Linked DNA regions of Anolis sagrei. The protein of the gene in region 2 interacts with the protein of the main gene of each other region in a biochemical or structural test. Links are inferred from orthologs where the notes say so. Each region holds a gene or a part of one and is shown on either strand. Other genes may lie near its edges.

What was found. The genes of interacting proteins can lie anywhere in the genome.
Region 1: the proteins of PKD1 (region 2) and HDAC9 form a complex in vitro, tested with the Homo sapiens proteins (2 studies listed by BioGRID, with this or other methods). The link is inferred for Anolis sagrei from reciprocal best matches to the Homo sapiens genes PKD1 and HDAC9.

Annotation. Positions count from the first base shown.
Region 1 is NC_090026.1:95,497,602-95,504,903, reverse strand, and holds the start of HDAC9 (histone deacetylase 9), read left to right. Parts: upstream 1-4,244; 5' UTR 4,245-4,551; intron 4,552-7,302. UniProt on the Homo sapiens protein: Responsible for the deacetylation of lysine residues on the N-terminal part of the core histones (H2A, H2B, H3 and H4).
Region 2 is NC_090034.1:21,180,049-21,187,501, reverse strand, and holds the start of PKD1 (polycystin-1), read left to right. Parts: upstream 1-4,362; 5' UTR 4,363-4,600; coding exon 4,601-4,887; intron 4,888-7,453. UniProt on the Homo sapiens protein: Component of a heteromeric calcium-permeable ion channel formed by PKD1 and PKD2 that is activated by interaction between PKD1 and a Wnt family member, such as WNT3A and WNT9B. Both PKD1 and PKD2 are required for channel activity.

The sequences.
Region 1 (7,302 bases), on a different chromosome or scaffold from region 2:
ACCAGCCCACGTCAGAGCTCCTTGTCGACCATCACTACCCCCAGCTCCTTCAGAGTCAAGGCAGTCCGTATGCTATCCAAAGCTTTTATATATACAGTAGAGCCTTGCTTATCCAACATAAACGGACCAGCAGAATGCTGGATAAGCAAAAATATTGGATAATAAAGAGAGATTAAGGAAAAACCTATTAAACATAAAATTACATTATGATTTTTCAAATTGAGCACCAAAACTTCATGTTTTACAACAAATTGACAGCAAAAGCAGTTTAATACATGGTAATATCATGTAGTAATTACTGTATTTCCCAATTTAGCACCAAAACATCACAATGTATTGAAACAGCTGTGAATCAGGGCTGGAGGCAGATTGCATTGGATAATACAGAACGTTGGATGAACGAAGGTTGCACACACACACACACACACACACATATAGTGTCTAGGAGCCCCCAGTAGCACAGTGGGTTAAAGCGCTGAGCTGCTGAGCTTGTTGATCGAAAGGTCGCAAGTTCGATTCCAGGGAGCAGTGTGAGCTTCCTCTGACAGCCCCAGCTTCTGCCAACCTAGCAGTTTGAAACATGCAAATGTGAGTAGATCAATAGGCGGGAAAGTAACGGCGCTCCATGCAATCATGCCGGCCACACGACATTGGAGGTGTCTACAGACAACGCCAGCTCTTTGGCTTAGAAATTGAAATGAGCACCACACCACAGAGTCAGACATGACTGGACTTAATGTCAGGAGACAACCTTTACTTTTACTTATATATAGTGTAAAGATAAAGGTTTCCCAGGACACCTCCAAAGTCATGTGGCCAGCATGATTGCATGGACTGCTGTTACCTTCCTACAGTACCTGTTGATCTATTCACATTTACATGTTCAAACTGCTAGGTTGGCAGAAGTTGGGCCTAACAGCGGAAGCTCACCCCACTCCTCAGATTTGAACTGCCAACCTTTTGGTCAGCAAGTTCAGCAGCTCACTGTGCCATCAGGCACTCCCTAAGTTATGAACAAAATAAGCTCTGTAGGTTTGTTCTTCAACTGAATTTGTTTGTAAGTCAGAACAGGTAAATTTTACGTGTAACTCATTATCTACAGAACCTATCTGGTTCATAACTTGGGGAGTGCCTGTATACCTTGGCAAGTGAAATGACATTTTCCCCAATTTCTGAAGACAACATTTTGATGCTATTGGTAGTTTTTTTTCAAAAATATAAAGCATAAACCAGATTTTTACACTGATAACACACAAAGAAGAACTATTAAAACTTGCTAAAATGAAAAGGAAGATGCATTGATTCATAGGGTTGTAAAGCACTCCAACAGTCATCTTGTCTACTCCCCTACTAATGCAAAGATCCACTACTGAGGCCCCTGAGACATGGCAAGGGCCGTAGCCAGAATTTTTTTTGGGAGGGGTTGAAATTTGGGGGGGGGGATTTGAAAATTTCACGTGGGGGGGGGTTGAAACCTGCCTCTGAGCTCACGCCTAAGCAAAGAGCACAGCAGGGGGCAGAGCAGCCTTCAATAGCCTGCAGCTCCACCCCTGTCAACCACCTCCACCAAGTCTGGCCTCCTTAATGAGAGCATTCAACACTCCCCCCCCCCCCAACTTGGTTGCTTCACTACATCGGCTATTGCTGCAAGTAATGACAGTGTGAATAAATTGTCAATATTTGCTTGAGATAGCGCTTGCAGTTCTGGAGGGACTCTTAATTTTTTGCGTCTCATAGACTTAGCATGGGGATTTGGTTAACCAGTTAAAATTCATGAGTAAACCAGTTTTTTTTTCAGGGGAGGGGGGCATTGAACCCCTAACCCCCCCCCCCCCCGTGGCTACTTAATCACTGTTAAAAAAACTTCTCACAAAGCAGTATCCCCCCCTTCCTGAGATAGCACATTCTATTTTCAAACAGCATTTGCTGTCAGTAAGCTTTTCATAATGTTTAGACTAAATCTTTCTTATACATAATTTGCTATATAAGAGTTTTCATGATTTTTGTGCATTTTAATTTTCTAGCTATGATTAAAGTTATATTATTTTGAATACACATACATTAAGTGTATTCATGCAATAAAGATTCTAGGCATGTTTATGGAGGAGCATTTTTCATAGTGTTTTGGGTAAGAATTATGCCTACTGGAATATATTTCTTGGAGGAATAGCAAGCTATTGAAGTAATAATGGAAAGCAAAAGAAGTTTAATGCTATTTTGGCCCTTCCCCGTCTTCAGAACCTGCCTTTGTACAGCAAACATCTATGAATATGTGGAGACATATGCTATCTTTTGATGTTTTGCACTTGTACATAAAAGGGTTTTTTAAACACATTGCTGACCAATGAAATCATTGGTAGGGAAACAGACCTTTCAGGTGTACAAGTCCAAAACATAAAAACCAATGGGGAGAGACTGTAGAACCAATAGTCCCAAGTATTATGGCTGGTTAAGATTTCTTATCCCTGATTTGAATGGATATTTAAATTTAAATTTAAACACATTAGGAGCCACTTTTAAAATGTTAAAGGAAAAAGTAAAAAATGTAAAAGTAAAGGTTTTTCCCTGACGTTAAGTCCAGTCGTGTCCGACTCTGGTGGTTGGTGCTCATTTCCATTTCTAAGCTGAAGAGCCAGTTTAGTCCGTAGACACCTCCAAGGTCATGTGGCCAACATGACTGCATGGAGCGCCATTACCTTCCTGCCGGAGCGGTACCTATTGATCTACTCACATTTGCATGCTTTCGAACTACTAGGTTGGCAGAAGCTGGGGCTAACAGCGGAAGCTCACACTGCTTCCCAGATTCAAACCTGTGACCTTTCGGTCAACAAGATTAGCAGCTCAGTGGTTTAACCCACATGCTAGTAAAACTGATAAACCATGTCTGGAATCTGAAAGTGAGCCTTGCTAAGACTAGTTTGCAATGCATTTTCCTCGTATTGTTCTAGGGCATAGTCATTATTTAGCTAACTAAAGACAATTCAGATTCGCTACATCTAACAGTCTTTTGGATGCAGTCATATGCCTATTTATCTGACACAACGTCCTGTGTCAAACAAATACAGTAATATTTGGTTATGAATAGGTTTAAGACTGCTGTTTCTGTCAAATTTATGGCTGCTTGCTTAGATCCTATGCATTCCTTTATCAGCTACAGCTCTTCACGCGGGGACATGAAAGAAGTCTCCCATAAGGATGGTAAAACATCAAAATATCCGGGTGTCCCCTGGGCAACGTCCTGGCAGATGGCCAATTCTCTCACACAAGAAGCAACTTGCAGTTTCTCAAGTCACTCCTGACACCACACACACACACACACACACACAAATCAAGGAGTGGGCAGTGGCAAGGAATAAGGGTATCCTGTTAATATGGAGGGCTGACTGTACAGCCAATGGTTTTTCTTGTCTGAATTTATTTCAGAGAGAGGTTTGCTTTTGCTTCCTCTGAGGCTAAGAAACAGAGCCATGTCCAAGCAAATCCAGTAGTTTCTATGGCTGAGCAGCCCTTGGATATTGGGATTTATAGCTCACCCACAAGCAGAGAACAGTTGGAACCTGACCAAAGATGGATCTTGACCAAACTTGGCACACAGACCCAGCTTGGCCAACTTAAGTGGTGTGGTTTCGGGGGAATTGCCCTTGTATATTGGGATTTCTAGTTCACCCACATCCAGAGAGCAGTCAGAACCCAACCAGCGATGGATCTGGACCAAACTCGGCACACAGACCCAACTTGGCCAATTGAAGTGGTGTAGTTTGGGGGCAATTGCCCTTGGATATTGGGATTTAGAGTTCACCTAAGTCCAGAGAGCAGTCGGAACCCAACCATTGATTGGATCTGAACCAGACTTGGCACACAGACCCAACTTGAACTACTGATGCAGTTTGGGTGCGACAGATGATGATGGGAGATGTGGTTTACCCACACCCTTATGGGCCCATCTCCAACAATGCATCCTTCTTTCGTTCATCCTTACTAATGGGTACCTCGATTAGGAGAGAAAGAAAAGAGGGACGGTTGTGTCCGAACAAAGGCACAGCCTGGATCCCACCTCTCACCCTTTTCGGGAAGGCTTTAGCGTTGCCATTCGCCCCTGCCAACCCCCTGCCCTGTTTCCCCGCTCAGTTTCGGAGTTCCCCCGCCTCTCCTTGGGCGGCGAAGGCAAAGGCAAAGGCGTCGTCGGCGCCCGCCTCCCGCCCGCCTCCCTTTTGCCGGCTATTTTTAGTCCATCCTCCTCGAGTGGCCGCGTCGGGCTGCGAGCGCTGCGCTCCGAGAGAAACCCCTCGCAGTGGATGCAGCAGCAGCAGCAAAAGCGGCAGGGAGGACGACGACGACGAAGCAGGCAGAGGCTTCCCCCTTCTCCGCCTCTCCTCTTCATGACGGGCTCTCCCTCCTCCTCTTTCCTCTTCGCTTCCCTCTGCATCTGTCGGGGCAACTTTTACTTTCCGGACTCTGGCAGCCCTTGAAGATGGCAGTCCTGGGCAGGTCCATCCTCAGCCGCAGCCCTCGAGCCGGGAGATAAAAGAGGCTCTCGCATCCTCGCCAAAGGTGAGTGTAGCGCCCACTTTACCTTCCTAGGAATCACGCTGGAGGGCAGAGTGGCCCCTTCTCCTCCCTTTCCCCCACCCTACCTCGCCTCGAATTGGGTTCCGCTGTCTACACCCTACTTTGACACCGCTTTGGGCTCCTGGGAGTCTGAGTTGGGTGATGCACCGGCATCTCTTTAGCAGGGAAGGTGAAAGAAGACTTAGGGAAACTACAACTCACACTATTCACATCCTGGCAATTCAAGCTGGATCTCCACCGACAAGTTTGTGAACCCAGACCATCAGATTTGAACTGGATTAGATGAATCTACCTTACCATATAATCCAGTTCAAAGCAAAAAGGTCTGGGTTCAGAAACTGGATTGGATGTCAGTGCAGATGGGGCCTCAAATGGTGTCAAACTGTATCCATTCTACAGCACATCTTGGGAAAACTTTGGCCCTCAAGGTGTTTTGGACTTCAACTCCCACAATTCCTAAATTGTAGGAGTTGAAGTCCAAAACACCTGGAGGACTGAAGTTTGACCATGCCTGTTCTACAGTATATGCATCTCAGTGTGTATGAGAGAGAGCAAGGCCAGATTGTATTGTCAAAGGCTTTCATGGCCAGAATCACAGGGTTGTTGTAGGTTTTTCAGGCTACAACAACCTGTTCTAGAAGCCTTCTCCCCTGACGTTTCACCCACATCTATGCAGGCATCCTCAGAGGTTGTGAGGTCCAGATTCATTCAGCCTTTTGCCCCCCCCTCCTTTTCCCCATGTTGTTGTTCTTGTTGTTGTGTGCCCTTCTAGTTGTTTCCAGCCTATCACAGAACTTTCTGCCTTGACAAACTTTGTCCAGAAGAAGAGGCTTGCATTCTTCTGAGGCTGAGAGTTTGTGACTCACCCAGTGGGTTTCCATGGATTTGCAGAGGTGCATCTACACCAGTGGTTCCCAACCTTTTTTGACCAGGGACCACTTGAACAGGGATCACTTTGACCAGGGGCCACTTGACCAAGGACCACTTGACCAGGGTTCACTTGACCTTACTTAGGCGATTCCTCATTGTCTGAGTAAGATTGTCCTCCAAGTTAGGTGTTCTGGCAGTGGGTACGTAGGTGACTGTGGAAGAAGAAGCGTGCATTATTCTGAAGCTGAGAGACTGTGACTCACCCAGTGAATTTCCATGGCTTTGCAGGGGTGCATCTACACCAGTGGTTCCCAACCTTTTTTGACCAGGGACCACTTGAACAGGGATCACTTTGACCAGGGGCCACTTGACCAAGGACCACTTGACCAGGGTTCACTTGACCTTACTTACTTAGGCGATCCCTCGTTGTCCGAGTAAGATTGTCCTCCAAGTTCGGTGTCCTGGCAGTGGGTATGTAGGTGACTGTAGAAGAAGAGGCTTGCATTATTCTGAGGCTGACAGACTGTGATTCACCCAGTGGGTTTCCATGGCTTTGCAGGGGTGCATCTACACCAGTGGTTCCCCATCTTTTTTTTTTTGACAGGGACCACTTGAAAAGGGACCACTTGACCAGGGAACACTGGACCAGGGACCACTTTGACCAGGGACCACTCCCCAACATTAGTACCAAAAGGGTTACAAATCAGTTTTTGGTCAACTTTAGATTCAGTTTGGTTATTTGGAGTGCTAATTCAGAAAATTGCATTGAATAGACCACATCAGCTTTAGTTTATGATACAAAACATATCCCATCCAGTAGTCGCCATCTGCTCGCCCACAGAAAACCATATTTAATAATCCAGAGCTGATGTGGCAGTAGTAATCTTTCATGGATAGACGGCTTCTTCCCTCTCGACATCCCTATTGCCTCGGTACTATAAGAGGGTTTTGCGAGATGACTTGCTCTTGTTTCTGCGTGGTTTCATGGCAACGGTGTAGTAATGGTGAGGCCGCAGATCATATTTTCGTTCTTGTCATGGTCCACAGACCACAGGTTGGGAACCACTGATCTACACTACAGAATGAATGCAGCGTGACACCACTTTGACTGCCATGGCTCAATGCTATGGAATCATGGGATTTGTAGTTTCATGAAACACCAGCCCTCTTTGACAGAGGAGACTCAAGTCTTTGTCAAGTTCCAACTCTAATGGTTCCACAGAATTGAGTCAAGGCAGGTAAATTGATATCAAACTGCATTATTTCTACACTCTTGTTGCATCGTTGGTCTCCAGAGTTATAGATGTCAAACCGCTACACAATGCTGTCTTTCATAAGCAGGATAAATTTGGCACAGAGTTGATTTTTTTTTTGGTCGGGGGAGAAGTGGTTGTACTAACTTTCCCTTGCTTTTGAATGATGGCAATTAAACATAATTAATAATAAGAATAACTGATTTGGCAGGTTTTCCACGCCACTCCTCATTTGGTATCACCTCCTTTGGAATCCCATAGTTATTTGAATTTTGTCCTGAAAAAGGGTAGAGCTGGTGGGTGACAGGAAAGGGGAAGAATCATTTGTAGGCCAGTTGGTAAGAGCGTTCTAAATTCTACACTTATAAAGATGAATTGGGTAATTTTAAAAAGCTGCTCAGGAAAGTCTCAGTAGAGAGTGCATTGCCTGTATCAAACAGGTGGAAGAGCTCAGCTCTGAGAATGCAAACATTTAGTGTTGCGATTATAGTCACTGTGTCTTGGAAGAGCATAATTCGTTTTAGATTTCATCTAAACATTGGACACAAATCAATTACAGGTTAAGCAACCTTTGTCTGGAATCCAAAATACTCTAAAATCCTAAATTATC
Region 2 (7,453 bases):
TCCTTGCACAGTCTGCATTTTGGGTCATCAGCTGAATTTTCGATCCTAGCCTTAATGGCATTTGTTCTGATGGCTTGGCAGTAGTGTAACTACTTGGCCACGGTGGTACACGCTCTTGTCACATCCCGCCTAGACTACTGCAACACTCACTACGTGGGGCTGCCCCTGAAGACGGCCCGGAAGCTGCAACTAGTCCAACGCGCGGCAGCCATGATTCTAACGGGAGCGGAGCGCAGGGAGCACACAACCCCCCTGTTGCACCAGCTCCACTGGCTGCCGATTTGCTACCGAGCCCAATTCAAGGTGTTGGTACTGGCCTATAAAGCCCTGAACGGTTCCGGCCCAAGATACCTATCTGACCGCATCTCGGCCTATGAACCCACCCGAACTTTGAGATCTTCCGGGGAGGCCCTGCTCTCGATCCCGCCAGCCTCTCAAGCACGGCTGGCGGGGACGAGAGATAGGGCCTTCTCGGTGGTGGCTCCTCGGCTGTGGAACGCCCTTCCTGTAGATGTTAGGCTGGCACCATCGCTTATGACATTCCGTAGAAAGTTAAAGACCTGGATGTTTGTGCAGGCATTTGAGTAACTTAGTGCAATCTCTGGTAAATTGAACATAGGAACGGAACAATGGACAACGAACTTGGACTACGTTTGGAAGATGAGGCGACCCGGGGTGGGTTTTTTGTGATAACTGTGTATTGATGTTTGTTTATTGCTAGAAATGGAATTGTGTAGTTTAACTGTTTGACTTATTGATTACTGCTGTTTTTACTGTCTTTGTTGTTTGCTTTCTGGAAACCGCTGTGAGTCGCCCTCGGGCTTGAGATACAGCGGTATACAAGAATAGTAAATAAATAAATAAATAAATAAACTACCAGCAGGTCCAACCAAGCCAGAGAGGTCTCAGCTGAGAAGTGGAACTAAGAGCACCCAACCCATTAGCACTATGGAGAAACAAACCAAAATTAAGTCTATACTGGCTCGGCCGATGTCCGGGATGAAAAGGACTATGGTGGATGCTGCTGATTCTGGACATCCATCAACAAGTGAGCTACAGAATCAAAATACAAATGAACAGTCACAGAAGCGGCAAAAATATACAATGCCAGAAAACTGCACAATTATTATTACTAATATTATTAATACCAAGATTAAGGTTAAGGTATTTATTATTTACTTATTCAGAGCATTTGTATCCCATCCTTCTCAACCCTCGAAAGGGGATTCAGGACAGCTTACAATTTGCAGTCATTAGATGCCGACAAAGAAACAGTTAGAGCACAACAATTAACATCAACAGGTCAACTGCAATAAAAATACATTTAAAAAGCAATAAAATACACTAAAAATATTGGCCCTTAAAATATTAACACAACCAAGTCTGAGTCTGCAACGGTTTTCCCCTGACATTAAGTCCAATCAAATTCGGAAGAATGTTGCACTCGCAGAGCTCAAGTGGTGTTGTATTTCAGTGTCAATGTTGACTTTTGTGGAGAGGTGGCTGCCAAGGTAGGGGAATGGCAGCATTTCCTAATGTTACACCATTAAGCTGTATTTCTGACATTGGAGAGGGATTAGTTGGTGCCTGCTGGAAGAGTACTTTGGTTTTCTCAATGTTCAATGAGAGGCTGAGCTTCTCGTATGCTTCTGTGAAGTTGTTTAGAGTGGTTTGTAGGTCTTCTTCTGAGTGTGTACAGACGACATTGTCATCAGCATATTGGAGTTCTATAACAGATGTTGTTGTGACCTTGGTTTTGGCTTGCAGAGTGCTGAGGTTAAATAGCTTGCCACCTGTCTGATAGATTATTTCCACTCAGCTTCCTGTCAACAAGATGATCATAGCAATGAAGATGGGAAAATAAGGTTGGGGGTCACCACAACATGAGGAACTGTATTAAGGGATCCCAGCATTAGGAAGGTTGAGAAACACTTTTTTAAACAGAGGCTGGATGGCCATCTGTCGGGGGTGCTTTGCTTGCATGAAAGAAGGCGGTTGGACTAGATGGTCCGTGTGGTCTCTTCCAGCTCTTATTATTCTCTGAGGGTTGAATGAAAAGTAATGCCTCCACCTTCGTTACTTGGGTTTGGATGGGAATATCTTAATCGAACACAGGAATAATCCTTTGAATGTGCTCTTTAACTACTACTTTTCCACATAATCACCAGACAATTGGATACATTTCTGCCAACGATGAACAAGTTTTCTGAAGCCGTCACAGAAGAAGTCGACACTCTGTTTCCGCAAGCAGCGTCGCACAGTTCTCTCAAAGTATTAATCAGAAGCATAATGATGTCCCTGCAGATCTTCTTTCATTATCGGGAACAGATGGAAGTCAGATGGTGCTAAATCTGGACTGTAAGGAGGATGTCATACGGTGGTGAGATCCAGTCTCTGAAGTTTCAAGTCTGTGCGCTTTCATTTCAGGCATTAGCATCCTGGGTACCCATTGTGCACAGATCTTCCGATAGCCAAGCAAAGCAATGATGTGACCCATACGTTCCTGTGAAATGCTTGAAATTTCTCATATGCTTCTGCGAGTACAGCATTTTTCCAAATGAAGCACAGAGTGTTTGAGGACCAGGACATCCGTAGGGAGACCAAGGTGCTTGTTTATAAAGTTATTGTCCTCCCAACCTGCTATACGCCTGCAAGACGTGGACTATCTATAGACGTCACAAGCAACTCCTAGAACGATTCCATCAGCGTTGCCTCCGAAAAATCCTGACCCTTGAGCGCTTCAGCTGGAGGTCAACTGTGACCAGCAGTGCTGTAGAATTGGAAGAGGCACGGATGGAGGGTGAAAGAGAGAAACATACCAAGAGGATGATCATCCTAAATCAATCTGTCAACCTTTTGCTTATGAAACTCGGTGGTTGCTGTCACAGGATGTCCAACTCTTTGTCATGCAAGTCAGATGTTCCCACCTCAACATCTTTAAACTTACTCACCCAATGATGCACAGAACTCACATCAACACAATTACCATAAACAGCTTGCATTCTCTGATGAATCTCCTTTGGGGTGACACCTTCTGCTGTCAAGAATTCAATGACTGCACATTGCTTAAGTCGCATTGACCGACCGTCTGCACAGGGTTCCATACTTCACAATTTAACAACACAACCGTTCAATGCTAAGGCTTCCAGCCAAAATGAAACTGTAGAGGAGAGTCTACTGAACAAGCCAGTACCTGCCACATACCAGTACTTACTTACTTAGATGATCCCTCATTGTCCGAGTAGGATTGTCTTCCAAGATTGGTGTACTGGAGGTGGGTCCATAGGTGGCTGTGGAGCCCTATTCTTGATCTGCATGTTCTCCCGCAGTGAGGGCATTGCTTTCCAGGTGGAAGGCAGTCCTGGTGGGGTTGGCTTGACGTGCCTTCCTCTTGACATGTTTCTCTCTTTCACCCTCCATTCGTGCCACTTCAAATTCTACAGCACTGCTGGTCACAGCTGACCTCCAGCTGAAGCGCTCAAGGGCCAGCCTTTTTCGGAGGCAACGCTGATGGAATTGTTCTAGGAGTTGCTTGTGATGTCTATAGATAGTCCACATCTCGCAAGTATATAGCAGGGTTGGGAGGGCTATAGCTTTATAAACAAGCACCTTGGTATCCCTACGGATGTCCCGGTCCTCAAACACTCTGTGCTTCATTTGGAAAAATGCTGCACTTGCAGAGCTCAGGCAGTGTTGTATTTCTGTATCAGTGTTGACTTTTGTGGAGAGGTGGCTGCCAAGGTAGTGGAAATGGTCAACATTTTCTAATGTTACACCATTAAGCTGTATTTCTGGCATTGGAGAGGGACTGGCTGGGAACTGCTGAAAGAGCACTTTGGTTTTCTTGCTTTTAAATGACAGGCCAAGCTTGTTGTATGCTTCTGCGAAGGTGTTTAGAATGGCTTGTAGGTCTTCTTCTGAATGCGCACAGACGACGTTGTCATCAGCATACCGGAGTTCTATAACAGATGTTGTTGTGACCTTGGTTTTGGCTTTCAGTCTGCTGAGGTTAAACAGCTTGCCATCTGTCCGACAGATAAATTTCCACTCCTGTGGGAAGCTTCCCATCAACATGATGAAGGATCATAGCAATGAAGATGGAAAATAAGGTTGGGGCAATAACACATCCCTGTTTGACACCTGATTCCACCTTTGGCAGCTGTAGAGGAGAGTCTACGGAACAAGCCAGTACCTGCCGCATACCAGTACTGCCGTCTGTTGAGGAGTTAGGAAGGTGGAGGCATTACTTTCCACTCAAGCCTGGTATGATACTCCCCCCCCCCTCCCCGCTCTCCAAAATGAGCTCCTTTTGGTTGCTCCTGCTGCCACCGCCTGGATGGAATGAGGAAGACTTGAGGACGTCCCAAAAAAGAAAGAAAAAAGAGGAGGAAGAGAGGGGAAAGGAGAGGGGGGAGAAAAGAGGCGGAAGGAGAGGAGAGGAGAGAAGAGAAGAGGAAGGGAGGAAGGGAGGAAGGCGCAGAGAGGCCGGAGCGAAGCGTCCAGAGCGCCCAGGCAGAAACGAGAAGACGGAGTCGCGCAAAGCAGGCGCGGCCATGTGGGTGCGGGGCTGGGACTGAAGGGCCCGGGAGGGGGCCATGCCATGCCCGCGCTGAAGCCATGCCCGGGCTGGTGCCTCCTGTGCTGCCTGCTGGGAGGGGGGCTGGCCCCGGGCCCCGTCGGAGCCGGAGGGCCCCGGGGAGGAGGAGGAGGAGGCGGCGGCGGAGGAGGAGGAGGCGGCGGCGGGGGCTGCCAGCCCTGTCCCCCGGACTGCAGCTGCAGGAGCCTCCCCGCCGCCAGCGCCCTCGCCTGCGCCCTGGACTGCGCCAACAAGGGCTGGCCCCGCTTCCCGCCTTCGGGGGCGCCCTTCCCCGCCAACACCGCCGCCCTGTGAGTACCAGGGGCCCCCCGGGGAGGGGAAAGGGGCCCCCAAGGCACCCCGAGGAACCAGGGGCGCCCGGGGAGCCTCGGCAAGGAGAGCGGGCTGTGCGACAACAGGCCAAGAAGGCTGCGAGGCAGGGCGGGCTCCTCTAAAACTCTTCCCAAAGAAGGCTTCAAAGGCAGGGTGGCCCAAAAAAGGGGGGGGGGGATTTCGGACAAGAAGAGGCCACTGGAAGAAAAGGAATCGGTCCCCTGAAAAGGCCGGGGGGGGGGGGAGCCTTAGCAACTCCTCGCCACAAGGAACAGAGTTGGCTGTGCGTCAAAAGGGAAGGGAAGGTTTGGAGACCGGGCTCTTCCTCGGCTCTTCCCAAAGAGGGGTTCAAAAGCAGGGTACCCTAAATTGAGGGGTTGTGGACCCCAAGAGGCCACTGGAGGAAAGGAGAAGGGTCCCAGGAGAAGGCCAGGGAGCCGTTACAACTCCTCGCCCCAAGAAGCAGAGTTGGCTGTGCCTGAAAGGAAAGGGAAGCTTTGGAGACTGGGCTCTTCCCCAGCTCTTCCTAAATAAGGGGTTATGAATTGTAAAGTGCCCGAAAAGGAGGGATGATGAATGGCAGGGTGCCCTAAAAGGGGGGATTGTGGACCCCAAGAGGCCACTGGAGGAAAGGCAAAAGGTCCCAGGAAAAGGCCAAGGGGGAGCCTTTGCAACTCCTTGCCACAAGGAGCAGAGTTGGCTGTGTCTAAAAGGAAAGGGAAGGTTTGGAGACTGGGCTCATCCCAAAGAAGGCTTCAAAGGCAGGGTGCCCTAAAGGAGGGGATTGTGGACCCCAAGAGGCCACTGGAGGAAAGGGAATAGGTCCCTGGAGAAGGCCAAGGGGGGAGCCTTTGCAACTCCTCGCCACAAGGAGCAGAGTTGGCTGTGTGTAAAAAGGGATGGGAATGTGTGGAGACTGGGCTTTTCTTCAGCTCATCCCAAAGAAAGGCTCAAAGGTTGCCACAAAGGTTGCCAAGGGGGCAGGAATGGCTGTACGCAAAGGGGAAAGAAAGGAAAGGTTTGGATACCGGGTTCTTTCCTGCCTTTGCATTGCCTGTTTACAGTTATACATTTGGGGACTGGGGTGAGGGGTGTCTCTAAAAAAGATGGGGTGGGCTTTGTCTCCTTGTGGGGGGGGGGGGTGTGGACTCCAAAAGCAGAATGGAGGAAGGGGAAGGGTCCCAGGATAAGGAGAATCCATAGAGGAGGTCCTATGGAACTCCCTGCCACAAGGGATGCGTCTGCACAGCAGGATGAATGCAGTTTGAAATTGTTTTCTCTGTCATGGCTCAGTGCTATGGGATCCTGGGTGTTGTCTCTTGGACAGAGACAGTTACAGACGTGGCAAAGCTATAAATCTAAAGATTCTATACCATTGACACATGGCAATTCAAGTGCAGCATACGTTCTTGAATGATGTTGTTTCATCTTTGGAAGAGTTTTTGTGTGTGGCTGCCCACCATTGCAATGAAAATAAGACCAATGTATGAATCCATCTCAATGCTTCCCACTTTCAAAGGCCTCTCCACACCTTGTGGCAGTGAGTTCCAAGGGTTAACCACAGCTAGTTGTATAAATCAAAGCTCACGTTTGTTTATGATCTGTCATTCTGGTATAATAAATAAGGTGGAGAAAATATATTACATTGTTCGATATACACTCCTGTCCTATTTTGCTTTCTGCTTTCCTCAACAACTTGCTTTGAGGTGGATGCAACTTCAACCTTGCGGGTTGAAATAATTAATATCCTTTATACTTTGAGGATTTCAAAAAGAGGAAATGCAGTAAATTGGAGGTCTGATAAGTAGCCCTTTCCACCTTTGTACCCGATTGACTTCCGAATTGTGCTTTTCTCTCCAAATTAATTGGAGAGGGGTCTAAATGCTTGCATTTCCTAAGAAACTCTATCAGCTGAAGTTTTCTTAGTATCTCAGGTCCTTTAACCTGCCCTCTTTTGAAATCATTGGTATTGGGTTGTTTGCCTTTGAGAGGAGAAATGAGATTGCAGGGTTTGAGCATCCTTTGCAATCTCCGATTCAGTGTATTTATTGATATTTCTAAGTATGTATTAGAGTTGCTTCTGCACTGTGTAATGACTGCAGTTTGATGCCCCCTTAATTGCCAAGGCTCAATGCTACGGGGTAGTTTTGTAAGGTCTTGAGCCTTCTCTGCCTTTGTTATTTGTCTTCATTTCCACATTATAGCGGTCTTAAGGTTGCCCTTATACGGAAGGCATATTATGTGTTATATGTATTTTACTGTATTTTGTGTATTCTGTTTGCACTACTATGTGCTTTGTAAGCCGCCCCGAATCCCTTTTGGGAGATGGTGGTGAAATATAAATACAGTTGGTTATTGTTACTGTTGTTGTTGTTAGTATAAGGTGTTTGCCATTGCTATATTATTATTATTATTATTATTATTATTATTATTATTATGAAGTGTTTACCATTGCCTTCCTCTGAAGCTGAGAGAGTGTGACTTGCCCCATAGCCACTCAGTGGGTTTTAGAGCCAAGCAGGGATACGAACCCGGGTCTCCAGA